2 linked regions of the Struthio camelus genome follow. Each later gene encodes a partner of the first gene's protein in a complex. Links are inferred from orthologs where the notes say so. Each region holds a gene or a part of one and is shown on either strand. Other genes may lie near its edges. The genes, in order: ACVR2B and GDF2.

Region 1 (3,911 bases):
TGGACAAATACTCACAAATATCGCCAGAAACACGGAAAAGGCTTTAGAGGAGAGGGGGAGATTTGCAGAATTGCTAATGCACTGATTTAATGATCCGTGAGGACCTTTCCAAACAAACAGAATTATATCCTTTTTCTGAGGGTTCTTTATTATATTTTCGGGGGGAGGGAAAAAAGTCAGTGTAGGTATGTCCTATCAGATTATCCCTTTCATAACATGATACATTTAAGAAGCTTTCAGGGTTAATTTTTTTTTTTTTTAAAGCAACTGTTTTTTCCTCTAACTTGCATTTCTGCCACTATATGCACAACCACAGGATCAGGTTAAAAACAACAACAACCACCACCACCAAAAAAAAACCAAAACAAAAACAAAAACCCGGAAGCCATCTCTTTTATTGAATCACCCGAGATAAAAGGATTCCAAGATATATAGAAAGAAAATACATTAACCATAAATCTCCTTTATGCCCATAACAGAATTTTCCAGCCAAGAGAGCTGTTGTGATTACAGCCACCCTGAATACCACGAATACTGATGGCACACACACACACACACACACACACACACACACACACAGCCCTGCTCCTTCCCAAATAGCAGCGCGGAGAGCGAGAGCAGGTATGTAAATACAATCCCTCACAACCCCTTCGCAACACATGGAAACAAAGCTGTGCGTACAAGTGTCCCATCAATTAGATTTAAAAAAAAAAAAAAAGCCTGAGCTGGCCAAAGCTTTTTTTTTTTTTTTTAAACCCTACATCCTTTCCATAAACCCCACCAATTTGAGCGTGGCTTTAAAAAAAAAAAAAATAGTAATTACAGGGTGGCATTGTCGGCAAGACAAACCCCCGGCAGCGGCAGCGCATATTTAATGGGCACTCGGAACAAAGGAAGCGCGGCAGCACCCGGCTGCCCCAGCCGCCGCGGCCCCCCGGGCGCCCCCTCCCCGCCTCAGCCCGGCCAAATCCCGGGGCGCAGCGGCCGGGGACTCCCCTGCGGCCCCCGGCCGAGCGCAGGGAAGACAAATAAATTACAAAGGGCACGACTGCAGCATCTCTCCCGCACCCTGGGAACGCTGCTCGGAGCCCCCCCCCCCCCCCCCAACCCCGCTCCGCGCCCCGGCTGCGCAGCGGGACAAGTTGCTGCCCTGCGCCCATCCCCGCGCAACTGGTACATAAAGAGGGGGCCGGGAGCAGCGCTGTGAGATACCCCCCCACCACCACCACCACCTCTGATTTGGCAGGGGAATAGTAAAAAGGGGAGGGGGGCGAAACACACACACACACATGAAAGAGGAGGGAAAGTCGGGGAGAGAAGGGGCTTTCGCAGCCCGCCCGCGTTTTCGGCCCTTGCGGGCACGCTCAGGGCAGGGGGGGGGGGGGGGCGCCCGGGGGTCCGACCCGCTCCCCCCTCCCCAGGGCAGCCCGGTGTTTGTAGCAACTGTTTCCCCCCCCACCCCGGCACCCGGGTCTCCCCCTTAGGGAAACGCGCAGCCAGCAGGCTGAAGTTCAGGGCCGGGCGAGTGAAACGCGTGGTTTGAAAAATTAAAAAAAGAAAAAAAGAAAAGCAAAAAATAAAATAAAATAAGCTAAGCACCCCCCGCAACAAAAGCCCTCCCCCCTTGAAAAAGAAAAAAAAAAAAACAAACAACCACCACAACTTTCTCCCAGCTCCCCACATCACGACCCAGTCCCCAAATGACTCCTGTCGTAACCCCGGCGGGATGGGGGCGCTCCGGGGGCGGGGGGCGCCCGGCCGGGGCCGGAGTCCTTCTTCCCCCCGGGGGTGACACCCCCGCAGGACGCGGCGAGCCGCCAGCCCTCACCACCCCCCCCCCCCGCCCCGCAAGAGGCTGCACCCCGCGCACGGGCACCCAAAATCTTCCCCCCCCCCCCCCGCGCGCTGCCTCTCCTGCAGCCCCCGCGCTCAGCAGCGAACAGCCGGTTTTTGCAAAGTTTCCTCGACATCGCGGCGTGTTTACACTGCCATTGATTCACGCCGCCCGACTGAAGGGAACAAAAAGCAGCACGGGAAAGCTCGTCCTGTAAAGCAGGAAGAAAACTAAAGGGAGCGTGTGTGTATGGGGAAGGCGGGCGGGGGGGGGGGGATTTAAATTAAAACGAGCCCACCAGTTGGGGTGACCCCCCCCCCCTTCCTCGGTTTGCTCGCCCGCTCGCTCGCCGGTTTGCCCCGTTTTTTCGCAGGCTGCCTCCCAATAATGGCACGGCCCGCTCGGTTTGGCACGGCGAGAGGCTAACGTAGGTAAACACGCAGCAACGCTCTTACCTGCGCAGAAAGTTCCACAAAGAAAGGCGAAAGTCAGCCACGAAGCAATCATATTCCTTCACTTTTTTGTTTTTGCGTGCCCCTCTATCCCCAAGGAAAAAAAAAATATATATATATATATGTATAATTGCTCGAGCGAGTGAAAGAAGGGGGATGAAAAAAAGGCTGTCCTCTCTTTTTTCTTTTTTTTTTTTAAAAAAAGGGGGGAGGGGGAGGAAGAAATAGGGATTTAAAAAAAAAAAAATTCCTACAAAATCGGATTTAATTCCTTCGCAGTTGCAAAATGTATCCAGTGCGGAGGAGCAGCGCCCGGCCGGCCCCGGCTTTGCCTCGCCGCTTTCCAAGAGTTTCTTCGCCCGGGCTTTTGTGCTGGGAGCGCGGCGTGCACCGCACCGCACCGCCGCCTCCTCCCCCTCCCCCTCCTCCTCCTCCTCCCCCTCCCCGCCCCGGCCCAGCCCCTCCGGCTCCCCCAGCAGCAGCAGCAGCAAGGGGCGAGCGCGCACACACGCGGGCGCGCCTTCCTCCCCCCTCCTCCTCCCCGCGCCTCTCCCCCCCCTCACCCCGCGCGCGCAAGCTGCGCGCCGCACAGCGAAACTTTGCGAGGCGGCGGCGGCGGCGGCGGCTGCGCGGCAGGCAAGGGCCGGCGGAGCGAGGCGCGCAGCGGGGGGCCGCGGCATCGCGGGCTGCGCGGGGCGCGCAGCGAGGCGGCGGGGGGGGGGGGGGGGGCGGCCCGGGAGCAGCGGGCTGCGGCGGGAGTTGCCATGTACGGGTTTGTTTTTTTTTTTTTTGGGGGGGGGAGGTGGAAGGAAGGAGGAGTGGGGAAAAAAAAAAGCGGAAAAAAATATAAAGGGAGGGGGAAGGGGAGGGTTGTTTTTTTTTTTTAATTTAAAAAAAAAAAAAACCTGAACCGAGTCCAAAATGGCTTCTAAAAAAAGGGAGAAGCCACAGCGGAGCCAGCGGGGGAAACCCGGATGTTTGATACAAAGAGGGCTGGAGGGGAGGGGGGGAGAGGGAGGAGCGGCGCGGGGGCTCCGCGCCTCGGCGGCCGCTGAGCGGGGCGGCGGCGGCGCTGCCCGTCGCGCCCGCGGAGCCCCCCCCGCCGCCGCCGCTGCCCGCGCAAGGGGGGCTTCCCGGGACCACCCCCCCCCCCCGAGCAAGAGAGAATGGAATTAACCCATCTATTCCTTGCGAGGAAAAAAAATATATATATGAGAGGCTATTTATATATAGGAGGCTACTATATATGCATAATAAGATGTTTTATATATATGCGTGTATATAGGAGGATATATACGTGCGCGTGCATCTGTGTGTTTGTATCCTCTGCCGTGAGGCTGGTGCAAGCGCCAGTGTGTTCACGGCTTCTGGCCCAGCAGCGCCGCGCACAGCCGCAGGCAACGAGGGCCCTTCGCCCTGCGGGGCGGCAGCGCAAGGGGCACCCGCGGCGCCTGAGCGGCTGCTGCGCCGGCGCTCAAGAGGCATGCTCGGACCGGGGAGGGTAGATGAGGTTTTCTCTATCGCCAGCGTTACAGGAGTTGAACTCTTTCCGCGGTTTCTTTTAATTGTGAGCGGAGTAATCTGGCGCTGGGGAGCCCAAAGGAACCTCAAGGGGGGAAGGAAGA
Region 2 (3,911 bases), on another chromosome or scaffold:
TAGGTGATTAAAACTCTTGTTTCATTACAGACAGAGGGAGGTAGATAGAAGGCAAAAAACTGGTGCACCCTTTGCAAATCACTTTCTTGAATTCTTTTTGCAGTCTGCTTCAAACCCCAGCCTCTTGTCAGTTGTCAAGCAGATTGGTTGTACACTTGCCCTTATCTGAGTCATTGATGCCATGCTTCAGCTTCTGTTATCTAGCAAAGCTCTTAGTTAATGAAGATTCTATAAACATCTGACAAACACATATGGCTGGTGGGAAAGACATTGTATATTGTAAAGAATTCACATTTCACTTTGGGGTCATCATTGCTTAATTACACTCCTTTACCATTTCCTTGCCAACCCAGGGAGAAGCTTTCTTAGGGACGTGGAGGATTACACTGTTTTCATCAAGACTAGAAAATCGAGGTTCAGAACAAAATTAGTCTATCAGCTGTTAGTGAATAACACCTCACAAATCTCTGTTACAGTCCCTTCACCTACCATTGCAAAATCCCCAACCATTTGATGGAGACCTGTGATTCAGCAAGACGTGATCTCACAACAATACAAACAACCTTAAAATTTCTCTCCGTTTATCAGCAAAGAGCTATTATTTGTACACAGTGAAATATCTGTTTTGTGTCAAGTTTGCTTCATGTTGTTTGCAGGCTTGTCCATTTGCAGTTTGATTCCTTTGGTGGATGGGAAGTACAGCCAAATCCACATTGTGTATGTGCTAGGAGATTAGAATGGTATTATGAGCTCTTACGTTACAAAAATACCTCGTTGCAAAGATACAGAAAAGATTTTGTCCTGTCTCAGCACTCGTCCATTCTTCTCCAGTTTTCCAGGAGTGCATACAGAGTGCTTAAAGTGAGCCCATGCTACTGAAATACTCCTGTGTCTGTTCAGGTGACAACTGGGATCCCAGATTCTGGTTAACTATGTTTCTATGGTGTAAGGTTAGAAGGGCTATTTGGCATTGATCCTAATCTCCTGAATAGCAAGATTGTTATATTTCTCTCAAGGACTTTGTATTTCCTACCTCTACCAAAGTAATTTCCTACCAATTACTTTTGTTTGGCTAAAGCATAACTTTTGTAAAGGTCTCTAGGATTTATGTGCAGGTGTTGCAAAAATGGAAGATTTCTTCACATTTCTTGGCACTTATTCTAGAAGATTTTCACTGTCACTTAGAAAAAATGGTGCTTCACTTACTATTTCACTGTGCCTGGCTTCACCTTCTAGGCACTAGTTCTTGTAACTTTTCTGCCAGCTTAAGGAGCTCCATAGTGCTGGCATTTTCTCCCTATCAGAGTACTTGTACCCGATAATCAAGTTGCTTCTCCGTTTGCTTTCCGATAAGATAAAGAGATTGTATTTTTTAAGTCATGTGCTATAAGACATTTTCTCTGTTTTTCTTGCTGTTTTTGTGTCTCTTCTAGAGTTTCAGTATTTTTTTGAAAAGGTGAGCTCTAGGGCTATACATAGTTTTCTAGTGACACTCCACCAGTGCCACGTGTAGAAATGAAATCTCCATTCCTTCTGTGGTTTACTACTCTACTGTTTATCTTTTCAATGCCTTCATTAACTCTCTTTATATAGCATCACCCTGGAGTCTCATATTGTGCTGTAAGTCCAAAATACCCACCCAAATTGTTTAAAGAATTATGGCTTTCAAGGGCATAGTCTCCTGTTCGGTAGGAACAGCCTCCATTCCGTGTGCCTAGGTACCACGCTCTGCATTTGTCTACCTTAAAATGAATTTTGATTAACTAGAATGCAGCCTGATCAAGTGCTCTATACAAATACCTCTCTCCTAAACAGTGTCTTCTGCAAATACTATTTGGGTTATTATATATTGACTTCCAGTTCATATATGAAGCTGTCAAATAGTCTCAGGCCAACTGTCATCTTTGCAGAAACTCTTCAGTGAGCAGCTTTATTCGGTGACAGTTCCCTTTTGAAAGCTGCTCTTTGACATTTGGCAGTGAGACAGTTCTTAATTCATGTGATACACAAATATATGAATATTGTCCAGTGATCTGGATTTTAATTATGCTCCCTTGTACAGCTGGGTCAAAATATTCCACAAAAACCTGAGTACATTCTAGCTATTGCAGTTACCTCTAGCAATTAAACTGGGACCTCTAAGAATTAAAGAGATTTTGTGTTAGAAAAACAGTTTTCCATAATACTTTGCTGGTTAGTATCAGCTGTTTTCCTGTTTTTTCCGTCTTTAATCATCCCATATTAATATACCCTCAATTCTTTTAGGATTATTTAGTGGAATTTTTCTGACTTGTTAATTAAGTGTTTGTCCATAGTAACTTTACCTAGTAACTTGCACATTGAGTGGAACGGTTTATAGGATGCTCCTAGGAATCAGAAGAGCTGTTAGAAGAATATCACTGTCTTGCAACTGCATTTGTGCCATTTTAAAAACAATTAAATGAATTAAATGCGAAGGTTCCTTCTGTAAAGGCACAGATTAGACATCTAAATATCAAAGCCCCAGGAAGTAATAGCCACTTCTAAACAAATAGTGGTTAAGGCCTTGCCCACATCAAAGGATTGACCAGTACAGCTAAACCAGAAAACCTACCTAGTAACAAACATGAGAGTTTATTTTGCTTCTCTAAATTACATTGTTTCTCCAGATAAAATAAACGTTGCAAATAAGAGAATTGTCTTGCTTGTGTAATAGGGGAAGCTGGAATAGCTATGCCACTTATGGGTATAATTTTACTTTCCCCATGCTAAATGACATAGTTATGCCAACAATACTTTTAAATGCGGACTACACCTTTAGGGGTTTTATAGGTTCCCTATTGTGTGTAGGAGCAGCGTTTTCCCTTACATCCTATAGGCCTTATAACAGATCAGGGGATGGTATCTCTCTTTCCTAACCGCTTGCCTCAGCACATCTTGGAAAGCAACGATATACTCAAGGAGTAGTTCGGAATTTAAAAAAAGATTCCCTAAAGAAAACAAAATGCAATAGACCGGACTATTACACTAGGCTAATTCTATTCAGAGCTGATGTTAAATGGAAGGAAAACTATCCTGCAGAAAAGGTAAATATTCACAGGGACAGAAATGACAATGGTTTAAAATTAAGAAAGTTTTATACTTATGGGTGTACCCTAGGAATAAATGATGAATTTCTGAGAACTTTTTAACTTATGCATTAGTATTAACTCTTTCAGCCTTAGTTTACTCTGTAACTATGAAAAGAACTCAAGACCTTGCAAGGGAGATCTTTAATAGCAGCAGTACACAAAGCTCTGTCCCAGTAGTTCCTTTGCAAATCACTAGTGATTTGGGAGAAGAAGAAATGCCTACCTGGATCTATGCCCTTTCTTTCCTTTCTCTAACTGGCAGTTACTACAAGGTGCCTCAGAGCTATCTACTTATTGAGAGGTGTTTAGGAGGAAGTATGAAGAACTGTGGACAGAGTGGCTGTGCAGACAGATAAGTCCGTACACACTGAATCTTGATTTTAAGTGATTTAGCAAGAAGTGCCACATTTACACACCTCTGCTGGCTGGGAATCTTTACCACATAAAAATGGAATATCGGTGGCAGAAGTTACCTAGGGCCTTAGCAGGACAGGAGCCTTCACAATGAAGTCATTCACATCAGAAGGTAGTGTGTATAGTATCGTTCTCCTAAGCAACACAAATTTAATCGGGCAAGATAGTGCAAAAGGTTAGACTGCCCCTTGAGGGGTAAACTCTCCGCATCTTGCACTTTGTCCTGCCTCACAGACTTCAGTAGTTTGTTCTGCTCCTAGTTGTCTTATGCTATTGTACAACAGGTTAATGAAAACGGAAGAGAGCATGGTCAGTTTGTCCTGGCATGCGATAACACCGAGAAAGATAAATAACAGTCACAGTAACGGAACGCGAGCTCTTAGGAGA

Evidence for each region.
Region 2: the proteins of ACVR2B (region 1) and GDF2 are in contact, whole or in part, in a crystal structure (PDB 4FAO), measured with the Homo sapiens proteins. The link is inferred for Struthio camelus from reciprocal best matches to the Homo sapiens genes ACVR2B and GDF2. Residues at the interface, in NP_001097.2 of Homo sapiens: Asn35, Glu39, Cys49, Glu50, Glu52, Lys55, Leu57, Tyr60, Ser62, Arg64, Val73, Lys74, Cys77, Trp78, Leu79, Asp81, Phe82, Asn83, Glu94, Gln98, Val99, Phe101; in NP_057288.1 of Homo sapiens: Arg333, Ile346, Ala347, Pro348, Lys349, Glu350, Tyr351, Glu352, Lys397, Ser399, Pro400, Ile401, Ser402, Val403, Leu404, Lys406, Gly410, Val411, Pro412, Thr413, Leu414, Tyr416, His417.

Annotation. Positions count from the first base shown.
Region 1 is NC_090943.1:7,505,005-7,508,915, forward strand, and holds the start of ACVR2B (activin receptor type-2B), read right to left. Parts: upstream 2,731-3,911; 5' UTR 2,342-2,730; coding exon 2,290-2,341; intron 1-2,289. UniProt on the Homo sapiens protein: Transmembrane serine/threonine kinase activin type-2 receptor forming an activin receptor complex with activin type-1 serine/threonine kinase receptors (ACVR1, ACVR1B or ACVR1c).
Region 2 is NC_090948.1:22,147,241-22,151,151, reverse strand, and holds the start of GDF2 (growth/differentiation factor 2), read right to left. Parts: upstream 2,604-3,911; 5' UTR 1-2,603. UniProt on the Homo sapiens protein: Potent circulating inhibitor of angiogenesis. Signals through the type I activin receptor ACVRL1 but not other Alks. Signaling through SMAD1 in endothelial cells requires TGF-beta coreceptor endoglin/ENG.